Arabidopsis thaliana: one gene and its partners. The protein of the gene in region 3 interacts with the protein of the main gene of each other region in a pairwise test. Each region holds a gene or a part of one and is shown on either strand. Other genes may lie near its edges. The genes, in order: AT3G10260, AT2G22180 and ERG28.

Region 1 (11,117 bases), on a different chromosome or scaffold from region 3:
TATCATATGGAATTCTCAGAAGAAATGAATTACTTCCCCCCTACGGAATCTGTCAATGGCTTGATCTGCTTTCAAGAATCAGCTAGGCTGATTGTTTGGAACCCTAGTACGCGACAGTTGTTAATTTTACCAAAACCCAATGGGAACTCGAATGATCTAACAATCTTTTTAGGATACGATCCAGTGGAAGGTAAACACAAAGTAATGTGCATGGAGTTTTCAGCAACTTATGATACGTGTCGAGTATTAACCTTAGGATCAGCTCAAAAATTATGGAGAACGGTCAAAACTCATAATAAGCATCGTTCTGACTATTATGATTCTGGGAGATGCATCAACGGTGTTGTATATCATATAGCCTATGTCAAGGATATGTGTGTGTGGGTTCTAATGAGCTTTGATGTCAGATCTGAAATATTCGATATGATCGAGTTACCATCATCGGATGTTCACAAGGATGTGCTGATAGATTATAATGGGAGGTTAGCTTGCGTTGGTAGAGAAATAATAGAGAAGAATGGTATTAGATTGTGGATTTTGGAGAAACACAACAAGTGGTCGAGTAAAGACTTTCTTGCACCTCTTGTTCACATAGATAAGAGTTTGAGTACTAATAAGTTCCTACTAAAAGGTTTCACTCATGCTGGTGAGATTATTTATGTAGAATCCATGTTTCATAAATCGGCTAAGATTTTCTTTTATGATCCGGTGAGAAACACTTCTAGAAGGTTCGAGCTTAAAGGGTTCACTGACGACGAGTTTGTGCTCAGTAATGAACATGGTTACACGCTCCATGTTTTCCCGAATCACGTTGAGAGTCAGATCTCTTTTACTTAAGAAATTTCTTCGTTTTGTTTTTTTTGTTCTTGTGTTCTTTAGAATGACACTTGCTTTATATGCAAGTTTCTGGTTTCTTTTCGATTCCTTACTTTGACTCTATCCTTAGCCTTCGGCACTATCCAAACCACTTATATCCGGAAAAAAAAAGAGTAACAATTGTAACAAGTAAAAAAGATAACTAAAACACAAGAGAAAAGAGACAAAATCACACACTGAAAATTACATGATCTTCTTCTTAAACTTATTACTAACTTCAAGCTTAAGTAACAATGTTAATAGAAAGCCCTTTTTATACACCCCACCAAGTAGTCTTTGCAAAGGAAAACCATCAAATGCTGAATCTTTTGTACACAAACGTGTCCTATGTTATTAGTGATAAAGCAAAACCTGCATAGTTTCCAGAAACCAAAAAATGATGATGTTGGAAATGCAAATTCAAAAAAAAAGTGCAACCTGAGATTTGAGGCAGATGAGTATATATATTCTTACCTAATACCCAACTACTCGCTCCCGATGTTATCGTAACTGAAACCTTCAGATATGGTATCCAATCTCTTGTTGTCTCCTGCAAAAACACACACTTACCATTATCACTTCTGTCTGTTGCCTCAATACTTCTACTTTCTCTAAACCAGCGAGCTAGTCTATTGTGTCTTGAAGAATTTGAAACCCGATTACTTGCGATATATTACAGAAAGTAAGAAAGATTCCTAGAGCTCTCTCACCTTGATATTCTCCTCTGTCACGGGAGTCCAGGAAGTTTTCAGCATTCGGCACAAGGAAGGGTGATCTATCGTAGCTCTCCAGAATCTCTGAAATCAACCAGGAAACTTATGGTTACGACAAATAATTTATCCTATTAGCTGTTTACTGGCTCTTGTACTAGAAAACCACTAATAACTACTTGGTGTTATACGCATGCTAAGACGTCAGAACAACGAGAGAGAAAGGAGTATATGAGATATTGAGATGGAGAAAGACCTGAGCTCTGAGAAAAATCAGCAGTCAAATCAGAGAGGCTAAAGTTACGAGGAATTTGACCTAAGAACCCAAAAGTAGAAGCTTCTGCTTCAAGAAGCGGATCACTGAGGGGTTGGTTGTTGGACTCGTTACTGAAATTAGGAATCGAAGTATCCCCAACTGCCGAATGTCCTTCGAGGGCATTCCGTTCGCCACCATACATGAATGAAGCAGGGTTTGTAAAGGCAGTCTCAGACTTGATCATTCCTCCATTCATTCCTTGCATCATAGGCATGTTTGTGGTCTGCGATGAGAGCATATTTGGAGAAGCATCAACTCTCCTAGCATGGGTTGATATGTTTATAGAAGAGGGCACGTTTGTATTGAGTGTGGAAGAGCCATTGAGGAATGCATTAGACAGACTAGAAGCCATTGGATGATGTGCACTTTCAGACTTCAAAGATTGGTCAGTGTGCTCAGAGGGATAGCATAATTGTTTCTGATTCACTGTTAAGAAAATCACATAGATTAGCTATTTAATACTCATCAGTTAGCGACTTGAATGAATGACTAATCTAAGGAAAACAACAAACACATAATGTTCACAGGAAAAAGAAACCTTGAAAAGAACTAAGGCAGCAAAAGTGGAAGCCAGAAAACAAGACAATGCATATGAGGACTGTTTACTACAACACTTGAACAACAATTCATAGCAAAAGTATACAAGCAATAAAGAGACCCTAAAATGCAGAAATTAAAATCCATCTCACTCCAAACGAATCTTACTTGATTGAAGATGAGAACCATTTGTGTTTTGGACAGAAGCAACACCAGTTGGATGCATCTGACGCATGTGGTGAACCTGCTGCTCAAGCAACTTGTTGAATTCCATTATCTGGTGTTTAACCATTAGCCTAAGATAGTAAGCTTTGAAAAACTCCCGATTCTCTTCTTCAAGCTTCTGCCAAACTTTTAAACATAAAAAGAAAGCGTGTTATCATAAATCCCCATTTTTTATCATCGATACTCACTACTATACATATTCTCTCATATTTCATGATCTATTGAGCACTTCCTAACTAGGTTCTGACCAATAAGACCTTCTTGGTGACACTTGAACCAAACAATACATAAGATTTCAGTTTTAAGCAACAACAAAATCATTCACACATGATTTTGGCTACAGATGTCCTGAACTGGTAATAGATATATTAATACCTTTTCATTCACAGTAATGAATCCAGATTCATCAATGAACAAGGATTACAGAATCAGATGCTAATTTCTATGAAAAGAAAACAGAGTATTTGAGTGGCTACCTAGTTCTGTGAACCCAGGCTCGATTTTAGCCTGCTCTAGTAAAGTATCCACAACTTCTTTCTGATTCATGTAAAGTTGAAGGCATCGTTCTATAAGGTTTTGAACCTGAAACCAAAAGTAAGTTTTATTGAGTTGGAAGAGGACGAATTCAAATTGTCGCAGATTCAGACAATGAAACCAAAGGCCTTCCTTCATCATGATCTATTTTTGTTGTTATTACCAGTTGTATATCTTGACGTGAAACCCTTCTCACTGTTCCACTCGACATCTATGAGACTTTTGTAAACCAGACCTTGTTCCTGTCAGGCAAGAACCAGTATTAAGAGAGGGTACAAGGGAAATCGATTCGAATCTGTACAAGTTCAAAAATTTATATCAAATCATTAGAGGTTTTTATCTCCCACTAATGAAACAAGGTTCTTTCTCTAGGTTTCAAATCCAAAAAAAAACAAAAAAAAACAGAAAAAAACAGAGAATCAGAAATACAAAATAATTCACAAATAAGAACAGATTGAGAATCATCTATTTTACCCCAAACTAAACCTCAACACTTCGAATCGATTTCGTCTTCAAATACAACCGGATCACATCAAATCAACAACAATAACAAAAAAAAAAAAGAACATCAAAACGATCAAGAAAACAAATTCGATTAGCTTAAGAAACACAAATTTCATAAGCAAAAGAGCACCTTTAATCGGAGAAGATTCGAGAGAGAAAGAGGTGGAGATGGAACCTAACCTCACTTTGTTGATCGATCGTGGATCAATTTCTTTACTCCATTTTCTTTGATTTACTTCTTTTTATATTTCTTTCTTTTAAATTTTTTAATTTTAACATTCAGGCTTCGAAGCTCAGGAAGCTGACACGTGTAAAATGTTTGACAATGGTGGATCCCATACCTGTAGAGTTATCTGATCTTCTTATTAGCCAGCCGGTCAATATTAGTCAACGATTCTTACGAAATAAGAAAACCATACTTTTGATTTGTGAAATAATTTTGATTCAAACTTGTTTTAAGTCTTACATTTTTAGACATTGAGTTAATGAACTCTCAATCTACTTGTATAATTTTGACAGATATGATGATTCTCTTATTAACCAAGGTATTGACAAATACATGGACAAGGTATTGTTTAGTAAGGAAATACACAAAATCTACATGAATGAATAATATTCTCAAAACATTCATTTAGCAAACCATAATCCATATTGTTCTAACAACAAACAAGGTAAAATAAGAAAATGCTTGAGTGATTTAGTCACTCACGCTTCTTTAATCCAAACTTTCCACTTGGGATTCTACTGAGAAACCCAGTATCAAGCTTCTTGTAATGACTATGAAACTTCATGATCATAGAATCCATAAAACCATCCACTTCGTCTTCGTATCTCTCATACAGAACCGGCATTGTGTGTGCCCCAACAAACCCTTCACACACACACATAAAATGCATCCCTTTAAAGTCTTGTATTACTCAACTTCCAATCTCAAAAGAGGATACACTAATAAGAACCACTCACCGATATACAAAACAGTTAGGAAATTGCAACAGCTCCCGACCATTGCAGCTACCCATAGTCCGATTACAGCCTGAAAAATGATATTGTGATCAAAGTTTCTATCTTAGCATAGTAATGAAAGTGCTAATACATTATACAAACAAGATTGTGGTTATTGAAACAAACAACGCACCATGAGGAACTGTTTCAAATTCCCTTTACAAGCCAAGTCCTGAAGAAACAACAAACCGCGGTTAACTTCTTTTCCAACGGCCACACCGACTTCAGCAAAGAAATCCTTTGGAAGAACTAGGCGAGGCACTCTAGACTGTGAGCTGCTTTGAGACATTAAAGGACATTGTGTTAGATTGCAATCACAAGGTACCAATAATAATGACAACAACACTCCAACAAGTTACCGGTTTAAGAATCCAGAGGCGTTAGACCAAACGAATTGTGCAATCATACCAAGCAAGAGGGCATAGCAAACGAGAGACAGGAAATGGAAATTGATCCATTCAAAAAGCACCCAAATTGCGGTAGCTCCCATCAAAACACTTGCAGAGATCTTCTTGTTCCTCCATAACAACACATCAGCAGCTGAAGGAATCTCTCAATACTCAATTACAAGAAAAACCAATCTCATATTTATGTTCCTGTATACGAATTCTTACATTTGCCACCGCCTAAGACATGATGAATTGGCTTCTGGCGATCAAACAAACGGTTGAAACGAGAACTGACGGAATCTTCTTGTTCGAAGAAGGAGGAACCATGTTTGTTCTTCTGAACAGTCTCCGTGAAGTTATCCACCAAATCACCGATAACGTCCTCTACGATGTTCTTGTCAGGCATGATTCTGAAACACAATCGAAATCTGAGATTGCTCAATTTGCAGATGAAAGTTGACTTCATAAAAAATTGAATCTTTTGATCAGTTCTTCATACCCTAAACCCAAAACCATTTCGAGTAATCAAATTTGGTCTTAACAGTTCGTTGGTGATAATTACAATGATATAAAACTTAGATCTTAGTATATTTGGCGAGAAGACAAGAACAACAAAAAGACCAGAAATTGAAGAGCAAGAACGAGACAAAGATGAAGATGAGTAAGAGTAAACCTGTAGGAACTGGAGAAGAAGAAGAAGAAGAAAAACCTTGGTTGTTCTGTGAATTTCACCCAAAAAAAGTTGCTTTCTTTCGTTGAAGATTCTCTCAATCACGAAGAAAGATGGAGGGCGGAAGTGAAACAAGAGATGGGATTGGTTGTGTCGAATAATTGAATTACAAAAAAATGTTTTTTTCAAAATGTGGGCAAATGTTGGAGTAGTGTGTAGTAATAATGGATAGGACTTGTCTTCCCACGTGTAGCTCATGACAATAAACAAATTATTTTTTAAGAAGTATTATTGGACGCCAAAAAAAGAGTTGAAACGTATCGTTTGTATTTGCAAGACAAACAAAAAGAAGTTTTCTGAGTAGATTTATCAACCGTTACAAGCCTTGTTGAAAATAAAAAAATTTCATTTATTCAATGAATTAAAGTCACACTAATATGGTTGACTGGTTGTTACATGCGTGATGCGTTCATAACACTGCTTTAGGTTGTTCAGGAAGAACAAAAATCATGTTTAATTCACTATATACCTACCAAATCGAAAAATAAACTTGTTAATTATCGATCACTCTGCGATCGCTAGTAAAACATCAGTCAAAACTTAACCTCGAATACAATTAAAATCAATACAACAGGCAGAGAAGATATTCATTGCACAATAGTTACCTTCTCATCTTCCTTCTAATCATTAGTTTTAACTTCGTCGCATGCATGATTTTCAGGAATGCCAAATTGTTGAAGTCATAATATATAGTAAATACCTAGTGAATGCAAATTTCTCTTGTCTCTAGAAAAATTCTAGTTCCAATGGAAAGAAACGCCCAACAAAGAGCCTTGTGAATTGCTAAATTTTGACATTGAAAGAGATAATCCTAACAATGAATTTTGTCCTTTATAGGCCAGAAGAAGAACAAAATCCTGTTGGCCTGTGACTATATGATTTAACCTTGAAATGATGATGTCTCCCTTTGCATTTCACCAGAGTCGTTTCTTTGTTGTTTGTATATAGCTGAAGCAATAACTATAAGCTGTGTTATATGTCGAGATTCTCCAGATTCATCCTAGTCGCAGCACTTTTGATGAGTTCCTTCCTGACATCGACCTGAAACATACACAGAACATAACATTGTCACGATGAGTTATGCCAGTTTATTGACTATTATCATGAGTCCGAGTCTGGCAATTCATTGGCTTACCCGAGCACCCATCAGAGATGAGAAGACCATATTCGTTTCTGCTGCGTCGTCAACAACTAGTTGCTTCAATATCCTTGTATCTGGATTCATCGTTGTTTCCCATAGCTGCGCAGGCATCATCTCACCCAAACCTGCAGATGCAAAAGCAAGAAACATTACATAGAATCCAATAGTTGAGACTAATCTAGATTTCGTTATGCACACACTCAAGAGTATCTTAATAGCTAACACATAACAACTACTATACATTACTTTTCATAGTTATTTATCCTTTCCAAAAGAACACATTCATGATGTGAGAAGTAGGATGTTTTACCTTTGAACCTCTGAATGTTGTAGGATGCGTTTCCAGGGAACGAAGCAGTGATTTTTTTAAGAGCTGCATCATCGTAGCAGTAGTGCGCCTGTTTCCCCCTCTCAACCTGATCGTTTTCACAGAGAGACTAGCTTTAGAAAAAAATTCCGTTCAATCTGAAGCATAAGATTATAGATACTAAGAGCTTACCTTGAAAAGAGGTGGAACACCAACGTATATGCAACCCGCGTCAAACAAGGCTCTCTGTAGAAAGTAAATTTCATTAAATTTCACATAACTCAATCAGCAATCAAGGCTACTTCAACTAATGTTTTATCAAACTAAACTAGTACCTGATATCTGAAGAAAAAGGTCAACAGAAGTGTCCGGATATGTGCACCATCAACATCTGCATCTGTTAAGATGATAATTTTATGGTAACGCAGATTCTCCTTGTTAAAATCTTCTCCCTGAAATAAGTTTTATGTCAAACTGAGTTTTCCGAACATACCAACAAACAGCAGGATATGAAAAAGGATATATTACCTTAACTCCAAGACCAAGGCCAAGAATAAGATTTTGAATTTCTTCGTTCTTATACATTGCTGCTTCATCCTTTCTCTCAATATTCAAAATTTTGCCTCTCAAAGGAAGAATTGCCTGCATAGATCGAAATACAGTGTTACAGACTAACAAAATAGAAGCAGAGCCTGTTAGTGACACGCTGAGCAGAATGATTTTTTTTACCTGGAAACGCCTGTCACGACCCTGTTTCGCGCTGCCACCAGCCGAATCTCCTTCGACAATGAAAATCTCTGGTAGCATAGGAGATAGATGTCAATAAACTGACTAACTTTCACAGCTTACAAGGCACTTTCATATTGGTTAATGCATACCAGATTCTGCAGGATCTGTAGATGAGCAATCTGCAAGTTTCCCAGGAAGTGAGGATGACTTCAAAACGCTTTTTGATCTTACCAACTCCCTAGCCCTCTTGGCAGCCAGAGCAGCCTAAAAAGAAAGAGTCAGCAAGGAAAATCCATGGTCATTTGGTTGAAGTTAGTAACTAGACATACTGTAGGAGACACATACTCAATCAAAGAATACGCTAATCACAGATATCAGAAAATGCTTCTCAAGGGATAAAACACATGTTTGAGTGTTTGAGTGCATGTGTGTGTAGGTGAAGATGTGACAGTATGAGCAGGTATTTCAATGTCGCACCTTGTACGCATTCAAGGATTTGGAAATAATGCTTTCAAGTACATCCGGATGCAATTCCAAGTACTCCGTGAGGTACTCCTGGACTGATTGGTCAACAATTTTTCTCACCTCTGGATTTCCTAGTCTTGTCTTTGGGACACAAAAAAATTAAAATGATCAACAGAATCCAAGAAAACTTATGGCCTGCTGACCAGAGATTGTTGACAAAAATGAGGGTCAACATATCATTATGCTCCCTAGTACCTTTGTTTGACCTTCAAACTCAGGGTTCGGAACCTTGACTGAGACAATGCAGGTCAATCCTTCCCTAACATGTTCCCCACTTAAGCTAATATCCTTTTCCTGAAAACATAACCAACAACAATAAGTTACACTATGAGTTAGCAACCTTTTCAGAACAGGTCAAGATAAATGCTTAAATGTAAGCAAAAAACAACCTCTATAACTGGCATGTTTCACAGTTCAATCATGGTAGTACATTATTAATTGTCCGTAAAGCATGTCTTTTAAGTGCAGATGAGTATTTAAATTTAGTCTCAATCCATGGAGAGGAATAGATAATATAACCCTTGACCTACATTATCTCAGAAGACTCTTTCAACCACAATAATGACCAACTAACCGCAATTAGGCATTTGCAGTTTCCATGAAAAAGGAGGAAAAGAGAAGGGGAAAAAGGCTCTAAGCCTCTAAGAGTGGAAATATAAAGTGGAAAAAACGCAGTTGGTAAGTTGTATCCCACCTTGATAACCTTTAACTTTTTTGCAAGGGAATTTAGAGTTCTTGTTAATGAAGCCTTCACACCTTCTATATGTGTCCCACCATCTATGGTCCGAATACTATTCGCGTATCCCAGCATCGTGTCTGAATAGGCATCTGAGCACCTGGTACAATAACGAGATTATATACTTAGATCCATATAAATTTTGGATAGCTACCATGATATACACATATTCGTCTAGAAGAACTGTATATACAGTCATCAACTCCGCATACGGTACAACATATTTCCATCCAGTTTAGATAAAGTAAACCATAAAATCAGTCAGCCAAAATGTTCAAGTATGTGGTTTTACGCTAAATGCAACCCAGATTATAATCTGTTCATCACATGAGCAGATATTAGACGACGTATGTAGAAGGAAGAGTAAAATACCACTGAAGTGAAACGTCAACGGTGGAGCCATTTATCTCTTTCCGGAAACCCAGCACATCATGAAGCGGTTTCTGAACAAAACGAATTGTAAATTCATATTTTCGGAAGGGAAAAGTAATAAGGATGACCTATAACACCAGAGACCTAAATGCATAAGAGCTAACATAATAGAGATTAAGTTTACAAAGGTTCCATGCTCATGCTAAATAGAGCCCTAAAGAATAATGAACAGACAACACATCTTACCATCAAGTAAGCTGAGAAGGAAAAGTATTAGTACCATCCCCATTGCATTTTGTTTCACAAAACCCATTCCAATTTAATTGCCACTATTTTAAGTCTAGCATCACCGATTGGCAAATATTGAGATTTTATACAACTATAACAAGGGACCCACAGTACATGCCTCACCTTATCAGTATTTAGCCAGCTAACATATTCAGTTAACCCTCCAGCATAAAAATATTCACTATACACGTCCCTTTCTGGATCATCATCCTCCTTTTTTAGAGAGATTGTAACCTGCATTCAATATGAACCTCTTGATTATGACAAAGGAAACAGTCGAACACTAGCTTCTGCTAAATAAGAACTCACTAAAACGAGCAGGTTAAGAATGCTCCGTGAAGCACACAAATCAAATATCACGGCTGCCTATACCTTTGGATTGAGAAAAGCAAGCTCCCTGATCCGTCCAGCAATAGTGTTATGGTCGAATTGAATTGCAGTTGTGAATACTGATTACCAGTTTGTTTCAGAAAAGATAAGTTAGTCATCAAATCCTATCTTTGGGAGGGTACAATAGATAAGTACGGAAAACAGGCAAAACCTTCTTTGTCAGGCCAGAACCGGATGCATGTCCCTTGAGTCCCCCTTGACTCTGGTGGTAGGACATGACATGTAAGTGTTGTTACGGGCTTTCCACGAGAATACTTCTGCTGAAACTCCATTCCATCTCTGCGAACTATAACCTCCAATGCCTGTGAATAATGGGAGCTCCATAATTAGTTGTATGCATATTATCCTAATAGACTCCTGATGTCTTGCCAAATATAACAGTTTCTTATAGTTGAAAGTATCTGAAATTGATAGCCCCAGCACTCAGTACAGAACCATTCCAGGATCTTTCTCATATGATATCAGGTTTGGACATTAGATTAACTTTCACACAAAATAAAGAATTTGCAATAACATAGCAAACCCTTCCTATACGATCAAATGCGCAGGATCTAATTATCATTACAAACATGTGACAGAGGATATTTTCAATTTAGCAGAAAAGGCAACAATGTACTAACGGTTACAACACACCTCTGACAATGCATTCACAACCGATAAACCTACGCCATGCAATCCACCAGACACGCTGTACCCACTACTCTTGCCACCAAACTTACCACCTGCATGTAAGACCTGCACAAATAAAAAGCACTGATTAATTGCAGGACCAAATGTTAGGATAACAAAAACAAAAATACGTGTGAATCAACATTGAGACAAACATA
Region 2 (11,117 bases), on a different chromosome or scaffold from region 3:
AGGATCCTTAATGTATTCAATGAGAAACCAATCACCTAAGAGCAACCTTAATGGTAGACTCTTAATTTTATCTCTTAACTATTTTATGAATTGTATTATTGAAAAAATTATAGCTAAGAGTTTTTGTAATGGTTTGAAGTTCTTAAACCTTCTTTTATCTCTTAGCTAAGGACTTTTTCTAAACTATTCACATATTATTTTGATTATATATTATACCTAAGATTTATAGTAAGAGACTTGCAATAAGGATGGTCTAATGTCTCTTCCGTTCTTTATTTTTCTATATTTGTTTATATATATAGAGAGAGAAGATTCAAGTAAATCAGACGGTTCTAACAAAACTTGATTTGACTCAATTATCTAGTGCCATAGAAAGCCTAAAACTATATGTAATTTTAAATGTATTGACTCAGTAAATGAATGTATATGTTGATCTGTGAGATGTTCCAAACTACTTGGTAACATGGGGATGCATGTGACTTAGATGCCCAAATTATAGGGAGCAAAAACATTGATCACCAATCCCTTCACTTGAATAATAATTTTCTGTGACATGTCTAAAAGGTGGACTAAAAACAAAAATCTTTTGGCAAACTCTAAATGTCTTTTGATTGGATAGTCAACTTTTTTAGACACCAAAATTTAAAGTAACAAAAAAGGAAATTTTCTTTTGTATCGGAACTTTCGAATGTAGTGGTGTGAAGGAAAAGAGAGAAACACAAATAAGAGTGAGGCCTAGGCGTGCGTTCCAACCAACCGACCATGTGGAATTATATGATAAAAGAATGTTTGTATTTTACATCAAGATTGCAAATGTTTAAATTTTAAAGCATTAAATAGAGTTGGATACTGCGCTCATCCCAAAATGTGTGAAATTCAATATTAGCTAGTTAGTTTAGAATGATATAGTCTCTTGCAAAACATCATACATAAAATAGTATTTAATTTGATTTGTTTGGTACGCTCACAAAAAAAAATAGAATAAATGAATATAGTGTCTTGCAAAACATCATACATCAAATAGTTCTTTGATATCCTAACTATTATTACTGGTTTCTATACAATTTTATATATCCAACCTTTACCCGAAATGAAGAATTCATTTTATAATAAACTATAAAATTTGTCTTTTTATATTCTTGCTAGAAGATAACAATATTGTTGTCATAATTAGGACTGTGAAAATGGTCCAAAGGTGCCCTTAATAAATAATTGGACCTATTTGTTTCACTTTCTAGTGGAATATCTTTATACACAATTATTGTTTCTCCACTGTGGTTTCGCGAAAATGACCACTCAACCTTTTCTTGGTAGATGGTAGGGGTATAGAATAAATGATTCTTTATGTATATTCGATTTTTTAAAATAATCAAGTATATTTAAAATAACTAGCGCACAAAAAAAAAAGAACATTGCATTTTGAAATCTGCGGTGAAATATAAAAATATTTTTGTATAAACTTTCATAATTTGTATTTTCTTATTAATACATTCCACTTATTGAACAATAAGATGGTGAGGCCAGATTCTCGCAAAGCATTTCCGTTTATTAACACATTCGCCTCTAAACGGGTAGTTGCATTCGCAGACAAGTACCTCTATGGACTATGGCGAATTCGACGAAGCCAAAGATCATATATTTTTATGAGTCCTTTCTCCTTCAAAACGTGGCCTTAAGTTGGTGGTCCTCTACTAAGCTCGCATCTCACTCCTGATTGGATGCATATGCAACCCCACCTCGTCAATGGCACTATCAAAATTCTCAGCTTCTATCTCTTATGTTTGTTGTGAGCGATAGTGTAATGACTATATTCAATTTTTACCGTACGAAACAGTAAACCGTCAGCTCTAGTGATCGACAAAATAACAGATCGGGTCTCCTCGCACCTATATTTTAATATGACTTGTCTTCACGACCTCATTAGATGTTGGCTCGAAGGAAGAAGTACTGATCAAGATTGTTTCTTTTCAACTTCCATTCTTCTAAAAGTCTATTTGTTTCTTTTCAATCTTCATTCTTTTAAAAGTCTATCTTTTCTTTCAAACTTTTGAAATTCTCTATTAATTAAAATATAAATATCTTTGTTGAAGCTAAATTTTACATTCCAACAGAAAAAGAGAAAGTTAAACTAATAGAAATGTACAGACGGCACTTATTCCCAAAATGTAAGTTACATTTCTATAATAAAACTAACAACACTGAGAAATGAGAATGATCTTATCAAAAAGAGAATGATAAAAAAAAAAAGAAAAAAAAAAGAGGGAATGATCCCATCAAGTTTTCGGAGTATTGCTTGTACACACTTGGTCTAGGAAAAATCTTAGGAGGTGAAATGTTACTTTTGCATTTAGGCCCAATTATATCTTCTGTTTTTAAGAAGTTCTGACTAGTCTGTTTATTTGTAATCTGGGCTAAACTAAATTTATTTGTAAAAGCAAAGGTACATTTAAAAAAAAAAAAAGACGCTCACTCTATTGTGTTCTTCTTGTTCACGTTTTCTTTTGTCGCTCAACAATATAGAGTAAAAACAAAGACATTAGGGAAAAAAAATGAACAATTGAACATTACATAGAAAGTATGAATTAATTAAGCACATTGTTAACTCTAACGACACAATCATGTTATATATAAAATATATATAGAGCGAGTGTCAGTTCTTGAACTCACTCTCACAATTCTCCGACACAATCTCAACCTTCTTCGCATCTAATAGTCCCTTAACCTTAACATCACAAGTCACCACCACTTCCTTGTTCCGTTTGACCGGCCCTGCTTCATACTCAGCCTTCAGCTCCATATTCAGCATCAGAACAACCGGTTGCTTCGATCCACGAGGTTGTACAACTGCGTTCTTGGTCGACCCATTAAGCTTCACATTGACCTTGTCGGATCCAGATGCGGCCTGGGACAACCCCGGAAATTTCCCGCTCCCCAGGCTCTTATTCTTGTACGTTAAGGAAACGACCCCGTTCTTTTCCATCATGTAGCGTACTCCCATGTTAGACGTTGGATTCTCGGCTCTTAATGTGACCTCAAAATTACTAGGATTTACGGTCAATCTCTCGACCGCGAAAACAGGAAGAGTGGGGTTGAAAGCGAAATGGAGGATGAGAATGATTGCACCGAGTAAGAATCCGAAAATGACCAAGATAATGAAGAACCACAAAAGACGTTTAGAACACCCTTTCTTTTTGTTTTTCTCCGGGTTCTTGCTGCGTTTCTCGACGTATTTTGCATGTTCCGGAGGAGGGGTCCAATAGACTTGATCTCTCGGGACTTGGACAACGTACGTCTCTAACTCAGGGATTGAATCCGGAGGAGGAAGAGGCGGAGAAGATGTCGTTGGGAGTGGAGACAGATTAAGAGAATGATTACGCCAATGGTGTGAACCGTGCGATGGAGGATCTAAAGATGGCAATGCGGGGAGGCTAGAGGTTGGACGGTGCCAAACGGACGGAGGATCATCGGGTTTGTCATCGTCAGAGTCAGGGGCGGTGGCGGAAGGAGGACGCCGTGGCCCCTCCATCGGAGAAAGGTGGGAGTTACGAGATGTGTGGTGGAGATTGGTCTACAGAGAAGACGAAAGAGAGAGAATTAAGAGAGGATGCGAAAATTAGGGTTTGCATGGGAAAAGTAAGTGGTTGTTGTTGCATGACTCAAACTTTTGGTTGGTTTTGAGAAGATTTTGCTATTTAGAGTTAGCCAGCTCACCTTAAATTTCCCTTTTTCTGTTATTTAGAAAACTATATTACAGAACTCATATAATATAGTATTATGGCATTTGATGATGATCAACGAAGTTGTTACTTTTTGTTTACAAGATATCGATTTTCTAACATAAATTATATATGCATATAAGACATACATGAGTAAAATCTTAAAAAGGTTAGCACATATTGGTAATGTTTATCATGAACGAGTCTTATTTTATTTTGTACGTTTCGAACTAAAACCATTTTTGGGTGGTATTTCTGGACCAAATTTTCATTAAAGTGTTTTTTATTTCAATTCTCTTGCAACTTCTGTTTCTTTAGAAAGCGAAAAATGCATATATACGAATATACGTTGGGATTGACATGAACGGAATGTATGTATTTACACACATTAATCCGCAGCAACCGGCCATTCAAAATTATGTTTGTGGGCCTTGTTGCTGCTTCGCTGACAATACTATCCAAAATTTATTTCATTTTTCTTTCTTTGAAAAACACACAATCACTTAATTTTCATTTATAAATCAAACATATGTACATGAAAATATCAAGGAAATTAAAGGAAATCTTACCTTCATATGGTCGAAAGTTTTCTTTCAAAAAGCAAAAACAAAAATTAATGTTTCTCTAATTCTTCCCCGGCCCCAATCCACGTGAAACATGTTATGTTGCGAGCATTACACTGGAAACTGTTACATTACATTCTAATTGGCGAAAAATGAAGTGCATTTGTATTGTATCTCACGAAGATTTGCGTTTGTGACAAAAAAAAATATGCAATTTTTTTCGAAATCTGACAACCCATGCCGACCTGTCCGCCGAGTTAACGACGTGCTTATAGGATCCTTAAGTATTTTTATTCTTATTTCTTACTCATTCCAACGGACCAAAAACGACCACGTCATCTTCATACGCAACTCCCAAAACAGACGATAATTAAATCATTGAAATCTAAACTCTCATATACTTTAGCATTTTCAACATTTCTATTAATATTTCCATAGACTAGATCTCTCTTTCTTATACATCCATATCACCGATGATGCCTCGCCGTGACGTCCTCTTCCTCTCACTCCTCCTCGTCATCGCCACCGTCTCCGCTGTCGCATTAGCCGTAAGTTTTCCAAATCTGACTTGCTTCCTCTCATATATGATTTTGTCTAGAACTAGACACACACATTAACCAGATTTGAATATGTATATAATGACACAACATCAATGACATTAGTTTAAACTATTAGACTACAAACTTCTGTTTCTTCCCATTTAAAAAAATGACTTTCTTGATTTCACAGGACGATGAAGCAGATTGTGTCTACACATTCTTCCTTAGAACCGGATCAACCTTCAAAGCCGGTACAGATTCGATCATAAGCGCTAGAGTCTACGACAAATACGGAGACTACATCGGGATCCGAAACCTAGAAGCATGGGGTGGTTTAATGGGACCAGGTTACAACTACTACGAGAGGGGTAATCTCGACATTTTCAGTGGGAAAGCACCATGTCTTCCGAGCCCAGTCTGTTCATTAAATCTGACCTCTGACGGCTCCGGTGACCACCACGGTTGGTATGTTAACTACGTGGAAGTCACGACAGCCGGAGTTCATGCAAAGTGCTCGTACCAAAGCTTTGATGTTGAGCAATGGCTTGCGTCCGATACATCGCCGTATGAGCTCAGTGCTGTTCGGAATAACTGTCCAGTTTCGCTTAGGGAAAGTGTCGGTCGGGTCGGGTCTGAGATCCGGAAGACTCTCTCTTGGATCGTGTGAGAGTAGTGAATGAAATGTCAAATGTGTATGTGTGTGTGTAACTTGGAGAGTTGTTCTTTGTTGTCTTGTGAACGTGTGATGGCAATAATGAAAATGATTCGATCGAATAAAAGTTCCGTTCTTTGTTGTTTGTGAGATTTTTATCAAACATTATTAAGTTTTTCGTGTGATGAAATTAAAAGATAATTACTGATCATATTAAAAAGAAAAAAAGATAATTACTGGTTGATATAGTTTCTTTGTTTCGTTTTATTTTCACAAATAAACGTTCAAAGCTACAACCTTATGATTAATCAAAACTTTGCCAAATAGTATAAAAGATGGGCCCTTTTCACATTTTTCGATGTAATTTTAAACATTTAATACAGAGTGGATCTTCACAATTTTAATCATTTTTGTGCATGTTCAAAAAGTCAACAAGAAACTTACAATTTTGTAAGAAACATCAACGACATTAATTGGTATTGGCCTAAACCTCCTAATTAAGTGACATTTGGTTGAAACGGAACATTTCTTTGGGTCATACTAATAACTGAAAACCATTATCAAATGAATGACTTTAAAATTCCTCCTAAGGCACCATATAAATCTCACTATGCTCCTAATCGTCTTTTAAATCTATAAAAGAAGGTGTGAGCAATAAGTTCCTCAATGAAAATTGAAAAAGATCATCCCTGCACACATAATCTATAGAACCACAAAGCAATATACAAGCTAGACATAAAATAAATAGACAATATGCCTTTAAAAGATAATTACTGATTGTATAATATTTATTTACAAAGACTTCGTTAAGGTCAAAATATTTATGTCTAATCTCCATCCCCCTAGAACATGTTTTTTTCTTTCTTAATAATAGTAACTGTCTAAAAAGAAAGAATTTATGATTCTCATAAAAATTAGAAGAAACAGATTAAAATGGTTTTATTCAATCATATTAATTGACAGAAAATTAAATGTCATATAAACTACAATGAAGAAAATGATAAAGTAGTGAACCTAGTGATAATCCTTTAAACTAACGATCACATGATTCGATGCAACAAAGTAATAACAGACTTATTTGAATTGCCGCGTAAGACTTTGAAGATATTGCTTTCAAAGACGAGAAAACATTGTTTCATCATAAAAATCTTCAAATACATCGAAACAGTTAATGATCGCATGTTCATCTCATTTCTCATACCTCTTTGGACTTAACTGGTACGTAAAAAGATGATAGGCTAATAATTTCGTTGAGACAAAAACTAATTTAAGGTTAAAGCATTAACTATATAATTGTCTATTTTTGTGTTAACGATCACATGCACACATTCAGTGCAATTAAGAAAAAAGTTTGATCCACCAAGTATATATGAATGTGTTCGTTTGTCTACTTAACTCTCGCACTAAAAACAATCAAAAAGAAGAAATCAAACAAAATGACTAAGCATATCTTAATTATTCTTATGTTTACTCTTCTCATTCTAGAGCTAAAAGCTCATGGAACAAATACAATGAGACAAAGCTAAAAAGTGATGAGGGTCTGGAAAAGTTGTACAAGAGGTGGATGGGCCACTATCTTGTGCCCATCCACCAAACAGAAAGTAGTTTCGATGTATTTAAAAAAAATGCAGAATATATTGTCAAAACCAACAAGGAGAGAAAACCGTACAAGCTCAAGCTCAACAAGTTTGCAAACTTGACCGACGTCGAGTTTGTCAACGCTCACACATGTTTTGATATGAGTGATCACAAGAAAATACTCGACTCCAAACCGTTCTTCTACGAGAATATGACTCAAGCACCAGATTCCTTGGATTGGAGAGAGAAAGGAGCCGTCACCAATGTCAAAGATCAAGGACCAACGTGTAGTAAGAAGTCCTAAGAAACGTTTTAATAATGATATTATTTAAAAATATCAAGTAAAGTAAGACTATCTTTAAATGTTCTAAAGTAAATTATTAAAAAGTTTATTGCAGTATATAAAATATTCAAATTATAACTCGTTACTCAGTCGGAGTTTTTGTTAAATTTATTTTTGTTTAAAACAAATATATTACTCAAGTCTGAATTTTTGACCCATTACAAGTTTTCTATCATAGATTGAACAATTTCGATTCGTTTTTCAAAATTCAAATAATGACATATGCAGAAAAAAATCTAGCTTTTCTTTATATGAAGATTTATTTGTTTCACAAAAATAGAATCATGTAAAGATGAAAAGAAAAATATATGATTAATAATAAATTAATATGCTAAGTTAGATATCAAAATCTTATATGTTTATTTTGATTGGTCATTTTCTTAATTAATAATGTATTTTCCTTTTTAGAATTTAAATAAATTAATTAAATTAATATTTACCTTATTTATCCTTAGTATTTTCTTTCCACAGATGCCATTATTTGAACTTTAGTACAACAAAATCACCAAAATAAAAAAAAAAACTAAGAAATTTTGATGCACATATAAATAAGTATTTTGACTTATATTCAAATTGTGTGGAAACAATGATAATGATATCCTTCCTCCGATAAAACTAATCTTTTTTGTATGTGTGGGAAGAAGAATAGAGAAAAACTATAAATAAGGTTAGAGTTAATGCCTTATAAAGTGAGAATTAGGGTTTAGTTTTATTTTCGTTAGTTTGGATTTAGGAAGAGACTTAGTGGGCTTTACAATTAATTCAGTTTTGAATTATTAATGATTTATTTTATTTGTTATTTTAAATAGATGACATGTCAACTTTTAATTGGTTATTAGAGAAGAGGTGAATGTAAGAATTGTTCATATTTTATTATCATAGATGGTCTTTTATTCTCACTTATTAAACATAACGAATCCTCAAATGCCTCAATGCAAAGAGTATTTAATAGTACAAATACCCTTTAATACAAAACGAATGTAAGGCATGCTTGGGAAAATTATTGGCCAACACATATCAGAAACTATACTAACGGTTTCACAACATTCTTTCTTGATCCCATGGACATGTCCATGTAAAATTCCTTTTATGCTTTCGAGACATCCTCTTGATGTGCTTTTAAACGCCTTAAAACACCCCTCCGGATCCGTTGGTTGAGCACTCGAAGGAGACCAAGTCATTGCAAAAACAAAAACCATAAGAAAAATTATAATCTTCATCGTCTTAGATTCCATTTTTTCTATAATTAAATTAAAAAACCCAAAAAATTGTTTAGTTTTTTTTTTGTAATATGTTAATGATGGTGGAGCTTTTTATACTTTGTTTTGGTAGAATGACTAGAGATATGAGTTTATTCAAATTGGTAGATTTTCGTTTGCTCATTTCACCTAGCAGATATGATAATAGAGTTCCATATATCTTGGTATATATGCCATTCAAATTCATGATCATTTCCTTTATAAAAGATAGCCTTTTCAACAATGTCACTTAATTTTGTGTACGTGGACATATAATACACTCACTACAAAATACATTTACGTATCATATATATATTACCAAAGTAATTAAGCATTTCGCCAACTAGAGAGTGCCACCTGAACGTTTTTGTAAATTTTGTGCCAAATAAATTAGAGAATTACTAATGATGACTAGATTTATTTATATATAATCCTAGATATACAATATCACCTCATCAACTATTTTTCATAAAATGTTAATAATTAATCAATTTTTCAGAACTTCAAAACAAGAAAAACATTTTAATTTGAAGATGATCAACATAAGAATTGTTAAATTTAAGTTTAGACTGCAAAAAAATTTACATTTAAATCTTATTTGTTCCATGCACATCTTTTAGTTATATACGTAATGAGAACTTAAAACTAGTTGTTATGTTACAAAAAAATACTCTTTGATATTTAAGTTTAATGTTTCTTCAGGTGTAATTTTCTATATTGACGACGTGTTGGATCTATACAAACAAAACCCATCTCGAATTACAACTAAACAAGGAGGATCCACCATAGATGTTAGATGTCAGTCACGGAAGAAGAAAATTAGTCGGCAAACGTGGATCAAACCTGCTGGCTAATTAAGGAAAGCAAACCATGATCTTCATCAAAGAAAATCTTTTATATATATATATATATATATATAATTGTTGCTTTATTCAATCACTTAGGCAAAAAATAACAAAAATTCACATATAAATGGTCGGAATAGAGCAGCCAGGCAAACAAACAAGATGGCGCTACTGGATACGTTTCGCTTTACGCAAGAATCGATAACTCAACTCTCATCTCCAATCCAAAGGATGTGTACGCAGAGGTCAAGTTCTTCGTCTACAACAGAATCTACGACAAATACTATACCTACCAAGGTATGTAATGTAACCTATTGCCCCCCACCCGGTTAGAAAAGTGTTGTTTCAGTGCTAGCAGATTTTCATTTCGAGGCTGTCAAAAAAAAAAAGATCTTCATTTCCAGTTTATTGCTATGTTTGGACAATAATGATATGCTATGTCACATTTACTATTAACCAAACGTTCTGATCAATCAGAAAAAATAAAGTATCATGCATGGTAACTATCTTTTGGGTCCAGTACTTAACTGAACATCTATTATAAATGAATGTTGTTGTACAAACTGAGGCAAGGAGGTTTCATTTATTCAAACCTGAATACGGAGTGCCGTAATTTCAACCCACATCGGTGTTCTCAACGCTGACAACCGGATACATTTTCGATGGAGAACAGTGTGTGTTTGGAATTGACATCTTCGTTGCTCAAACCTTGAATGAATGGGAAGTTTTCTCCTTTGAAGAAAACATCAAAGATCCCATTTACACATGGAAACTCAACAGATTTTCAACTCTCTATAGTGACTCTTACACATCCGCCCTTTTTTCTTCTGGAGGAAGTAGCTGGTGAATCTCTCTCTTCTCTCCATAACATATAGATATATACACAAACACTACGGTATCTTTACGTCAATGTGTTAATAAGTAATGTTAATGATATAGGGTATTGAAGGTATATCCAAATGGAGATGGTTTTGTAAAGGGCAATTCATCGTCAGTCTATTTGTTGAGCGAGTCTAATGAAAAGGCTTATGTTCGAGCCAAGCTAAGAGTTCTTGACCAAATCCGATCCAACCACGTGGAGAAGCTAGGTCAGTGTGCTCTCCCTATTTATATTTCCTTTAATTTTGTTAACAACTAAAACTTTTGATTGATTCATATATTTTTTTGATGGACAGTGGATGGATGGCCTAATGCAACAGCTAATAATAATGGATGGGGTTTCGAGAAGTTTGTACCATTTGCAGATCTTAAAAATGCATCTAAAGGTTTAGTGGTGGAAGATGCGCTCAAGGTTGAAGTCGAGTTCATTGGCTTCTCTAAAACACAGACTCCACCTTAGATGTTTTTTATTAGGATATGGTTCAATATAATGTCCTAAATAATAATTGAGGAGTTTCTAGCTCTTTCCTGTTTTCAGCTTTGGGTTTCATTTTGCTAGTTCCATTCATAATGTGACCACATTTGTTTCTGTAAGAGCTTTGGAGTTTTAATAAAGAGTTTTGTCCTACCGGGAATGATCCTCTATAATAAGGTTCTATCGAAATAAATGGGTAGAATTATCATCATTTTGAAGAGGCATGTTAGGGATAATATCCCAAAACCAAAGTACTCTTGCATTTTCAGTGATATATAAGAGACATGCA
Region 3 (11,117 bases):
ACAGAGTTGCTAATGGGTCTAACTCGTGTGCAGTCTTGAACATGTTTGCTCTTGCATCAGAGTCTAGTCGATCTCGATAGAACGATCCGTGGAGCATCTCATTGTTCACATCATAGTGTCTAAATTTCCCATTGTAACGGGTAAGAAGATCTGTTACGCGGTTCTCAACTGCTGCTTCCAGCTTGGAACCTGTCAGCTGTTGGACCCACGGTTGAATAGCGGACTCTACCTCCCAGAATATGCAATGGCCTCGGGTTTTTATGTTGTATCTCTCACAGAATTCGATCATCTCGTTTGCGTCCCGGTAATTGAAGTTTCCTTGCTCTGGCTCTGTCCAGTACCATTTCAGCTCATAACCAAACACTGCCCAATCGAAATTGTTAAGAAAGAAATCGACAAAGTCTTCATTATCTATATTGCTCCGACTGATGCATGACCCGAGTGGGAAACTGTTACGTGTCTGTCTGATCTTCACCGTTGCACCAGACAATTCGCTAGGATCTAAACCTGAGAACTTGAGGCAAACATTGCGTTTACGAACCTGCATAACAGAGAAAGAGCATTTGATGTGAAGTTTAATTTTCGTTCCAAACATGTAATGAGTAATATGTTTCGTAGGTTACCACATCAGCTTGTCCTCTGAGATAACTCAACCGTGCCTTACGATCAACAGCGAAGATCTGGAGACCTGCAACCATAAGATCAACACCAGGAGACGGGCCCTGGACATGAAGCATAACTTCTTTCGCTTCCTTCTCAATTCTAAATGAACCCACAACTTCATGCCAGTCACCATCATCAACCTCAACTTTTCCTCCATTAACCCAATTACCATCAACACTGAGTGCTATATTTACGTCCTGTGGACTGGTACGTCCTCCTGAGCCAATTTTAACCCAAGCGGAGACCTGGTATGTTACAAACAGCTTCACTTTATCAGTTATCGTCTGAGCAGGACCCATCCATGTTCCACTTCGATTTGTCGCAAGCACATATCTTCCAGATAGATATCCTTGTGTTTTTCTAAGTGAGTCTCTCGCCAGGGGAGGTAATATCCTAGGAGAGCCGTCTCCAACTTTTAAATGGCAGTCTCCAAGAGGGAACCAACCTTCGATTGTTCCATCACTTAGGTGGCTATTCGAAACAATGTTCATCCCAAAAGCATGACTCTGTAGAAAAATGGAAACAACATATAATACATTAAACACAAAGAGAAGGTAAATGTTAAAAACCACAAAACTTTTAATGTAACCTCAATATATGGTCGTCCTGAAGGAGTCTCTTTCTCTGCAGGCTTTACAGCAAAATGGTCGACAAAAACATCAATCCCTGGTGGTGGTCCTTCAATGTAAACAACTGCTCTAGCTGGAGATCCATTCAAGAGGAACTTTCCTTTTAACTCTACCCAATCGTCGTGTGTTCCCTGAACACTTGGAAAAGGGAACAAACTTTCTTCAAATTCTTTGTATCAGACAATATATTTGGGCCAAGATTCACATTTACAGTAACATGTGGGAAGAAAAAGAAAAAATCGTCATATGGAGAGCCTAACCTGGAAATGCCTATATACTCTTCGCGTTGGTCAAGGTATTGAACATACAAAGTGGCCTGCACGGTGTGATGGCTATGTGATAGTCGAACAACAGAAGATGCTTCATAAATGAGTTTTCGCTGGACTCTTTCTGTTATATCCTGCTCGATTCCGCTCCACTTATGTGTGCGCTCTGATGCAGAAGCAAAACAGGTTCCAGAATCCGGTAGTATCTTCCCATCAGCTAGAGACTCATGTAACATAAGATTGCATCCTCTTCCAGACCAATGATTGAGGCCATCGGAAAAGCTTGAATTCAGGAAGATGTGATTATCAGATTCAGGAGCTGAACAGAATTCTCGGCTTCTCTGCATATAAGGCAGAACATTAAATCAAAGCTAAGATTTAGATCATAGATTGATCATGTCAATGTACTTTCAGTCTATCTATCTAATCACAGTTACCTCAAACTGATTATCGCTTTCGCAATGGATGGTGACGGACTTTACAAGAAGGTCAATTCCAGGAGGTGGCCCTTCCAAGAAGAATACAACACGGTCAGGTCTTCCTGACACTTCAAAAGTGCCTTCCAGAGTTTTCCAAATATCTTTCGAAGCATAAGTTCTGCAGATAAAAACATTATCAATGTCAACATTTCTGGGTCTTCTTGACTATATATCACAAAGAAGTCATGTGGTTCCATTACTTTCCAATTAGTTGAAATTCCGTTGCTGAGCTTTTGTGCTCTAACTTCAAAGTGGCCAAGACCTGCGCCGACCCTAAAACAGGTCCTGATACACTAACACTAGCAGAGACTTTATATGAAAAACCAGGAGAAACGTTGTCTGTGATATCTTGCTCCAGTCCTTGCCAGGTTTCACTTCGGTTATTAACAACCGCATTTGATTCCAAATTACAGTCGTTGCTACTAACAACAAATGAATCACAACCGTTGGTATTCCAAGAATACAACCCATCAGAGAAGTCATGGTTCTTAATGATATTCAAAGCAAGAGGGAAGACATTGGAAGCGTCAGTGTTTTTTTCGGTTTCCTGCAGTGAAATAGTAAGCCACAAAACGATGTTAGAATACAAGTAATTAGCTTGCTGGTTTCTTGTAATCTGGATTATACTGTAAAGAATTAGATGAACCCGGTGAGCTATATAGTGCCTCAACTAACGTGCAACGAAACAAGCTAGACTTCTTTCATGTAGCTGAACTTCTTTCATATAGCTTTACTTCTCTCTATTTCAAACAACTGAAATATAATTTCATGATCAGACAACCAGAATTAACAATAATGTTAAACTTGGACACATGATAGTTACATCTATCTCAGTCTCCAATAACATATCTTTTATCTTCTCTAATAATCACCTTTCTCTATACCCATATTCTTTACTTATTCATATTCAAATGCAAAACTATGATCCCCAAATAGTTAAGTAACATATGACTATGGCTGGTCAAGAAAGACATGAGGTTCACCTGGAAGTCACTAGAAGTGGAGGATCTAACGGTAACAGAGCGTATAAGGAGATCTTTCCCTGGAGCGGGACCTTCCAGATAGAGAACAACACGATCAGGCATATTTGATATCGAAAACGTTCCTTCCAGATCAACCCACTTGTCTCTCGAGGCATATGTTCTGCAGATAAGTTCCACTTCATCAGAAATCTCTACAAAAGCTCAATCAAATTTCAAAGATATAACCATAAAAAAAAACATACTTTCCGATACACAAATACTCGGTAGGAGAGTCTTCATGCTCAAGCCTCACAGTAGAAAGAACCTCAGCTGATTCATTGAAAGGACCAGACACACCAACACAAGTTGATACAGTATAGTTCATTCCAGAAGCAACCCTGGTTGTAATATCTTGTTCAAGTCCTTGCCAAGTTTCTTTCCTATTAGTTACAACGACATAACCACCGCTCGAGGAATCAGCAGACATTACCTCTGAGCTAAATGGGTCAGAGGAAACTACAAAAGCTTCACATCCGTTGGGATACCAAGGTTCAATCCCAGCAAAGAAGTCACCGTTCATTACAATGTTAAGATCCGCCATGAGCTTAGCCTGTACTAAATTCGGATATAATCAAATCAACAACATTAACCAGTAGATGATAAAAATTCGAAATGGGTCAACCCAAAAAAAAAAAGTCAAATTAAAAATCTCACCTTTGAATGGGAAAGAAGAGAAGAGAGAAGCGAGAGGACACAGAAAGGTGATTAGTTGAAGAAAGAGAAATCCAACAGACATCAATCAGCAACACTTCGGAGAAGAAAGGTACAAAAATCTCGTCGGTTTTTTTTTTTTTTTTTAATGATTCATGTCGTGCTTTCGACGTTGTGGTTGCTGATAAAAAAGTCAAAATTGTTGTTTGACTCTTCCAGAAGAAGAAACAAACTCATGATTCATGAAGCTTCCTTTTCTCTGGGCAAAACTTGGATCCAATCTTTGACATTAAATGGGCCGGGCCTGTCTTTTAAAGTTATTATATAAAAATAATCTTAATTATCATCATCATGTCTGAATATGCTTTTTAACTTATGCCAAATCACATTTTTGGCTCATTTAATCAAGTTAATGACTTTATATAACATGTGTTGTGTTCTAGAAAAAGCAACAGTGTCCAAATCTCAGATGTGTAAGAAAGAAAATGTCAATGGCGTTTCAACGACGACAACAAATACTTCTGTGGGGACTTTCCCTAACGACTGAAACTATTCTCTGTTTCTCTCTGACCATTTGAACTTTTGATGTTTGAAGTCTATAAAAACCTACGCGAGACCTTCGAATCTTCCCAAAGTGGCGACCTTGAATTAACACCTGCATAAAGTTTCCATTTTTCATTCTTCGTTTCGTGATCATGGAGGAAGAAGATAGCGTGATTCCTAAGAATACAGAAGGAGATGGGCGTGTTGGAAGTGATCTTGAAGGAATCCGTAAGCCAAAGAAGATGAAGAAGATGAGAAGCAGGAAGAGTGATGATAAAGAGACGAAGAAGAAGAAGAAAAAGTATTGGATGGGTTGTCTCAGAGCTGAATCAGACGAAAGTGGAAACGTCGATTTGACTGTTGATTTCCCTGGCGAACGCACTGAGCCGACTCACCTAGTCGTCATGGTCAACGGTCTCATCGGCAGGTTCTTAGTGTTTCCTATGTTATGTGCTTGATTTTGTTCTATTTTAAGCTGATTTTAAATTTTGTGTGTGGGTACAGTGCTCAGAATTGGAGATTCGCCGCTAAGCAGATGCTTAAGAAGTATCCTCAGGATCTCCTCGTTCACTGTGAGTTCTTCTTTCTCTATATTTTTTCAATTAAAACAGAGTTTCCTCCTAATGGTCTATAGTAAATTTGTGATTGGAAGTCTCAAGTGAAACAGATTGATTATTGGAAGGAAGAAAGAATCACACTTTAGATATTTTGATCTCACTTTACTGGATTTTTATAATAGTTTTTAAATAATGGCTTGTGATACTTTATAATCATTTTGCAGGCAGTAAACGCAACCATTCCACACAGACATTTGATGGTGTTGATGTTATGGGAGAAAGATTAGCTGAAGAGGTTTGTGTTTCTTATCTTTAGGCTGCTTATATTTCAGCGTTGTTTCTATCTAATGTTATATTGTCTTCCGCTTGGCTAGATGTTTTCGCAATGCTAGAACCTTTTATGTAGAAGTTTCTATCTTTGTCTCTGCTTGAGTTTTCCAGCTCAAGTGATATTCTTAATCTCTTTTGTTTAGGTTAGGTCGGTGATCAAACGTCACCCAAGTCTTCAGAAGATTTCCTTTGTAGGACATTCTTTAGGTGGCCTGATTGCTAGGTATGCTATTGGGCGTCTTTATGAGCAAGAATCCCGAGAAGAGCTTCCACATAATAGTGACGACATTGGTGATAAATGCTCGATAGAGGAACCGAAAGCAAGAATCGCTGGATTAGAGCCTGTGTATTTTATAACTTCTGCAACACCACACCTTGGTTCAAGAGGACATAAACAGGTGATTTGAAAACGGTTTTCTTACATTGAAGCTGTCAATATGTTTACAGCAAAGTTGAGATCCTTTTATGCCTCATTCTCCTGTAAGCTTGATAGTTGATACAGTTTGTGGAATTTTGCAACATGAAAAGTTACAATTTGGTTAATGGTGTGGCATTTTGACTGCATTAGGTCCCATTGTTTTCTGGATCTTACACTTTGGAGAGATTAGCTACGCGTATGTCGGGTTGTCTTGGTAAAACGGGAAAACATCTTTTTCTGGCTGATAGTGATGGTGGAAAGCCTCCATTACTCCTCCGGATGGTTAAAGATTCTAGAGATCTTAAATTCATGTGAGTTCCTTCAATGATTTTTCTATATATAGCTGATTGAGGCTTTTGCGTAGTTCAAATGATTTCTAATGTCTCCTCTGCTTTTGTGAACAGTTCTGCTTTGCAATGCTTCAAACGGCGTATTGCTTACGCGAATACAAGTTTCGACCGTATCCTTTCTTTGTTGGACGTCTTTAAACTAATTCTCTACTTCTTCACTGATCGGACAATGTGAATTGAGCTTAAAAAAAAGACTCAGAACTGTTGTGGCTATTACAATTCATTTGAAACCTTGACCTCCTTTGTTCTTAGACCTTGTTGGGTGGAGTACATCGTCTATCCGGCGTCACAATGAGCTTCCTAAGGTTAAACCTTTCACTTTCAGTGTTTAATAAGATAATGCTGTGTATGTTATGCTGAATCAAGTCTCACATATAATGATATAACCTTCGCAGCTTCAACGTGGTCCAGTCAATGAGAAGTATCCTCACATTGTGAATGTTGAAGCACCGGATACTGCAAGTAACTATGAGGAAGATCATTCAAGGACCAAAGCAGACAGGTTCAAGAACTTAGATATGGAAGGTTGGTTCAGTGGAAAACTCATTCTCGTGTTTCTTATTCTTGATTTCTAGTCATCATAATACAACAAACTTATGCAGAGGAGATGATAAGAGAATTAACAAAACTGAGCTGGGAACGAGTTGATGTTAGTTTCAGAGGAACGCTGCAAAGATTTCTCGCTCACAATACCATTCAGGCAAGTGTTCATCATTGTCGCCATCATCATCACCATTGCTACTGTTATTAAACTTCATACTCACATTTGGAAAACATTACAGGTGAAAACAAAGATGATCAATTCAGCTGGAGCAGATGTTATACAACACATGATTGACAATTTTGAGCCATAGGTGTGACTTGTGAGATAACGGAAGATGGCAAGCTCCTTCACAAGTTAAATTCACTAGGGGAAATACATTAGTCATATTATCACAATTCTGTCATCTAGTAATGTTACTATACACTATTAGTAGGTTTATCTGTTTTGTTAGCTGTTCTCAGTTACCGGGAAAATGGAAAATAGAATCATTTTGGATACAAACAAATAAAAAAGGGAACGCAAGAAATAGTTTCCCTGTTCGTTGACTATCAACCATACACTAAACTCAAATCTCTGTTTTAAAAGCAATAAACAACACTTAAAAAGAAACCATATAATCCATGAATTTATGATATTCTCATAGTTCAAGACTCCATCAAAGATGTCGTAAGATTTAGATGAAACAATGAATCAACAGCTTTAGGGATCGAGCAAAAACTCAGATGATTCCCACTTTTAGAAAAGCTTATAAGACGAGAGACTTAGAAACATAGATGTGGACTAACATCAAGAAAGTTTGGAGTGTGGTTGTTCAAGGGAATTCCACTCCAAGAGCATCCACACAATCGATGTACCTGTTATAGAGAACACATTATATAGATCATTCACAATATGAATGCAACCTACATCAACTGATTCAATACAAGAGTGAGTGATGGTCAATGCCTCAAATTATACCTGCAAAGAAGCCCACAGTTGAGAGATTCGCGATGGTCATTGTTTGGTAAAAGAGGTATTCAGTCAGAAAATGGCCTAACGCATAGATAAATGATAGAAACGTAGCCAAGTATAATGGTTTGTTTTCGAGGTTGAATGCACAAAGAAAGCAGAGAGTGCAGGTCAAGAGTGTCCATACTCCGAATGTACGTCCATGAACTTCACTCACTGCAAAACAGGTAATAAAAAGATTCAAGTAATGAGTACAGGACTCTTGTGAACCGAGAAGGCCCCATTGCCTGAGATAACCTAAGTAATAGAGACATCAACTATGTGAACTAGTTTTGTCTAGATAAATCTTTTGTGTTCCCGGTTCTCATGTAGCTTAGATGATGCAAAGTTATTAGTCCTTGTGTTATCAGAACTGATGAACAAAACATGTACAAGACCTTTTGCAATCACAGGAAGAAAAAAAACAATGTTCCATGCACCACAAGTTACAGAAAGGAAAAAAGAAACTTCAAGTTGCTTATGTTTTAATACATATACAAAATCTTATTCACTTCACCTGATCACTAATTTACTTCAACAGTACTTTAAGAAAAAACTTTACAAAGATCCCACAAAAAAAGGTTATGCATTGGAGTATGTAAACTCTTATCATTCCCACCCAATTCTCGATCCAAATACTCTTCCCTTTCCTGATATCTAGGACATGGCCGTCCACTTATTAAAAAAGTTACTTCACCAAGGAACTGTACAACATACAAGATTTGCCTATATCTTTCTTGGATACGTTGCTTCAGTTTGCTATACTTATGGTGTACTAATTCATGAGTGTTGCTTTCAATCCCAACTACCTCAACTTGACAATTAAAAGAACACATAAGAGCAAGTAGAAAGAGCATCATGAATATGTTCAACGAATCCTAATCCGGCTTTCCTTCTTAAAACCTCAAAGTTGACTACAAGATTCATAAACCATTGACTTTCCATATGCAATGTACTACTACTACTAGCAAGAATCAAGATCAAATCCAGGAAAACAAAACAATATTCTAATTCCTCACTATCTTTCTAGATCTCAAAGCTTAGGGATCCCAAATTCGATCCTTATTGGAAGACTCAAATCACAGACACAAATTGTTAAATTTCCACAAGAATGGTTCCTCTGAACCTGACATTATCATTTCTCATTGAAACAACCAATTCACGTGCCCTCCATAGATACTAACTCACAGATACTAGCTCAGAGACCAAGGAAGTCAATTGATAGAAGAAAATCTGAAGTTATCTATAGTTTCTATGTGAACATCACCCATTTAAATCGTTGGAGCTAACACACTATCAAATCAAGAACAATTTAAAATAGAGATTAAAAAGGGAGAACTGAACTGGTGGTCTGAGAGAAGACAGCGAGACGAAGAGCCCAAATGTTGAAGAAACCAAACCAAACAGAAGCTAGTCTCAGTGAACCAACCACCATTAACCAATACCCCAACGCCTTCATCTCCCTCTTCTTCCTTCGTTTACTCCTTCCTCGTTATCCAACAATACCCTAACGCATATATTTTCCGTTTTAAAACCAGAAAACTATGAGACTGACACCAAAAAAAAACGTAAACTCAGATTCGGCGGAAAGATTCCCCGATCAGAACACGTAAGCCACGGAGGTTAATTTCGTACATTTCAGTTAGTTCTCAAACCACCGGAGAAACTGTTTGATGGGCCGACAATAGTTGGAGTCTCCGCCGAATTCGATTATTATTTAATTCAGTGGGTTTCAAATGGGCTTTTCAATTGGGCTTCTGTAATATTCTGATGGACTTCTCTACAGTTACTACTGTAAAAACAAAAATATGGTTTACGTAATTTTGTGTTGCTGAGGCAAGAAGAAGACATTTCCTTCATCCTCTATAAATGAATGTCATTAAAAAACAAAAAAAGCAGAAAAAATACAGCTATCATCCACGATCCTCGTTCAGCTACTTATCTAAACAAATACTACTACTATATAAAAAAGAAATTGAATCTAAGTTGTCGTAAACGTGCACGCATATCTCTCGCCCAATCCCCAAAGAATTCTACTTTATTTTTATTTTATTGACTCGCACGCATTATTTAATTTCTTAATTTAGAAATTTTGTATTCTATATAATACAGAAGCTGCATTCTCAGAGCGAATAGAGTGGTGAGTTTACCTTTGCAGTAGAAGAAAAGGTGACTATTTGATGTCATTTTTAAATGACGGTTCCTCGAAACTTTAAAACACCTTACTAATTTCATACTGTACACAAATGTAGAAAAGTTTTGTGGCTCTAAAAAGTGTTTGTTTCCTTATTTGATCAAACTTTTGTTTCTAGGTGAATGTAGAAAAGTTAGACCGATGGCTATTAATAACCAAAGACAATTCAAGAATACTTTGTGGAAAATAACCAAGAACACTTCACTATGGTGTAAATAATGTTAGGAAGTTTATCATTCCAAAACTCATGCACATGAAGAAAATTTAAATGTTTCGTAGTGTTCATCTTTCATCACTGTTAGCAAATACATTGGAAACTAGCTACGCCAATTATGAAACGGAACTAAAAATAAAATAAATTTAACAGAAGAAAAAAGAAATCTCTTAATCTGAATAAAATGTGTGTTAAGGAAAAACCAGAAAACTATGAGACTGACACGAAAACGTGAGTTCCGCATAGAGGCGGAAAGATTCTCCCCGATCAAGGCACTAATCAGAGCCTCGAATGTACACGTAAGCATCAAGGGTAATTTCGTAAACTTCAAAGAAGTGGAGCCCTATGTTTTTGTGTGGTTGGTCACTTATCAGGTAGAGAGAGAAACCAAACAAAAGAAAATTACGTCAACCTCTCTCCGACCTGGCACTTCTTCGCCAGCCTGTTCCCAGCTGTGCTCCAATGTCTTTTAATTTTCTCTACCAGCCCTCAACTAACTCTAAATTTCGGATTTACCCTTTATCCGTACGTATTTTAAATACTCAAAACAAATTGTTTAAAAACTTTCAAATGTTTACCAAAGAAACATTATTTGCCAAAATAAGCGTCACATTCGAGCAGAGAGTTACCCAATCTACATCATTGTTACGATTACCGGATGTTTAGCCACAATTTAGGGGGCTACTTGAAATAAAAAAGAATTAGGGACAAATTTTCTCATTTAATTCTTTTTTTATGAGAGAATAATGGAATATTCATGCTCTAATAACAAACTCTTTACAACATGACTTATAGTTATAGAATGTAATTAAAAATTATTCAAATGATTTTTTCATCGGTGGATGTAGCTTAACCGTCTATATTAATGAAAAAGGGGATTAAAGAACAAAATTAAAAAGGTTTGGTACCAATATTAAAGTTGTGGTATAATAAAGGCGAATTGGACAATTTAGGAAAATACAGCAAACGAAAGGAGGGAATGCAAAAATGGGAAAAATGTAAATTGTGCTTGCTTGTTTGTCTCCACTTAAAAACCAGAGACATACACAGAAAGACCAAGAAGACGACTGCTTCCTCCAATGGTTAGGTCGTGAATACGGCGCCATTAAAACGCTGCGTTTTATCGTCGTCACCTCCTTTTCCTTTGCCTAATTCCCCTAAGTCATCGTCTCTTGAACGGTTCCTGCCATTAATGTCGAACTCTTCCTAAACCCTTTTTGTTCACATTTCCTTCTCTTTCTCTTCCTCCGTCTCTCTCTGAAAAACCCTA

Evidence for each region.
Region 1: the proteins of ERG28 (region 3) and AT3G10260 interact in a two-hybrid assay, tested with the Arabidopsis thaliana proteins (one large-scale study listed by BioGRID).
Region 2: the proteins of ERG28 (region 3) and AT2G22180 interact in a protein complementation assay, tested with the Arabidopsis thaliana proteins (one large-scale study listed by BioGRID).

The regions. Positions count from the first base shown.
Region 1 is NC_003074.8:3,167,031-3,178,147, forward strand, and holds AT3G10260 (Reticulon family protein), read right to left. Parts: upstream 5,963-11,117; 5' UTR 5,539-5,962; coding exon 5,298-5,538; intron 5,224-5,297; coding exon 5,043-5,223; intron 4,959-5,042; coding exon 4,817-4,958; intron 4,715-4,816; coding exon 4,645-4,714; intron 4,553-4,644; coding exon 4,383-4,552; 3' UTR 4,192-4,382; downstream 1-4,191. Other genes in the region: AT3G10240 (F-box and associated interaction domains-containing protein), read left to right, coding at 1-837; AT3G10250 (histidine-tRNA ligase), read right to left, coding at 1,341-1,405, 1,566-1,652, 1,822-2,307, 2,587-2,769, 3,120-3,225, 3,341-3,388; GYRB1 (DNA gyrase subunit B), read right to left, coding at 6,775-6,843, 6,938-7,068, 7,254-7,359, 7,443-7,496, 7,586-7,702, 7,779-7,892, 7,980-8,047, 8,129-8,243 and 8 more.
Region 2 is NC_003071.7:9,421,378-9,432,494, reverse strand, and holds AT2G22180 (hydroxyproline-rich glycoprotein family protein), read right to left. Parts: upstream 3,753-11,117; 5' UTR 3,527-3,752; coding exon 2,651-3,526; 3' UTR 2,354-2,650; downstream 1-2,353. Other genes in the region: PLAT2 (Lipase/lipooxygenase, PLAT/LH2 family protein), read left to right, coding at 4,753-4,827, 5,009-5,485; AT2G22160 (Cysteine proteinases superfamily protein), read left to right, coding at 7,035-7,352; AT2G22155 (ECA1 gametogenesis family protein), read right to left, coding at 8,321-8,626.
Region 3 is NC_003070.9:3,271,753-3,282,869, reverse strand, and holds ERG28 (ergosterol biosynthesis protein), read right to left. Parts: upstream 9,118-11,117; 5' UTR 8,899-9,117; coding exon 8,784-8,898; intron 7,617-8,783; coding exon 7,410-7,616; intron 7,307-7,409; coding exon 7,239-7,306; 3' UTR 6,917-7,238; downstream 1-6,916. Other genes in the region: AT1G10050 (glycosyl hydrolase family 10 protein / carbohydrate-binding domain-containing protein), read right to left, coding at 1-541, 624-1,169, 1,253-1,430, 1,553-1,899, 1,996-2,155, 2,238-2,584, 3,021-3,180, 3,263-3,614 and 1 more; AT1G10040 (alpha/beta-Hydrolases superfamily protein), read left to right, coding at 4,406-4,680, 4,758-4,825, 5,035-5,105, 5,284-5,538, 5,709-5,869, 5,963-6,018, 6,161-6,213, 6,304-6,433 and 2 more.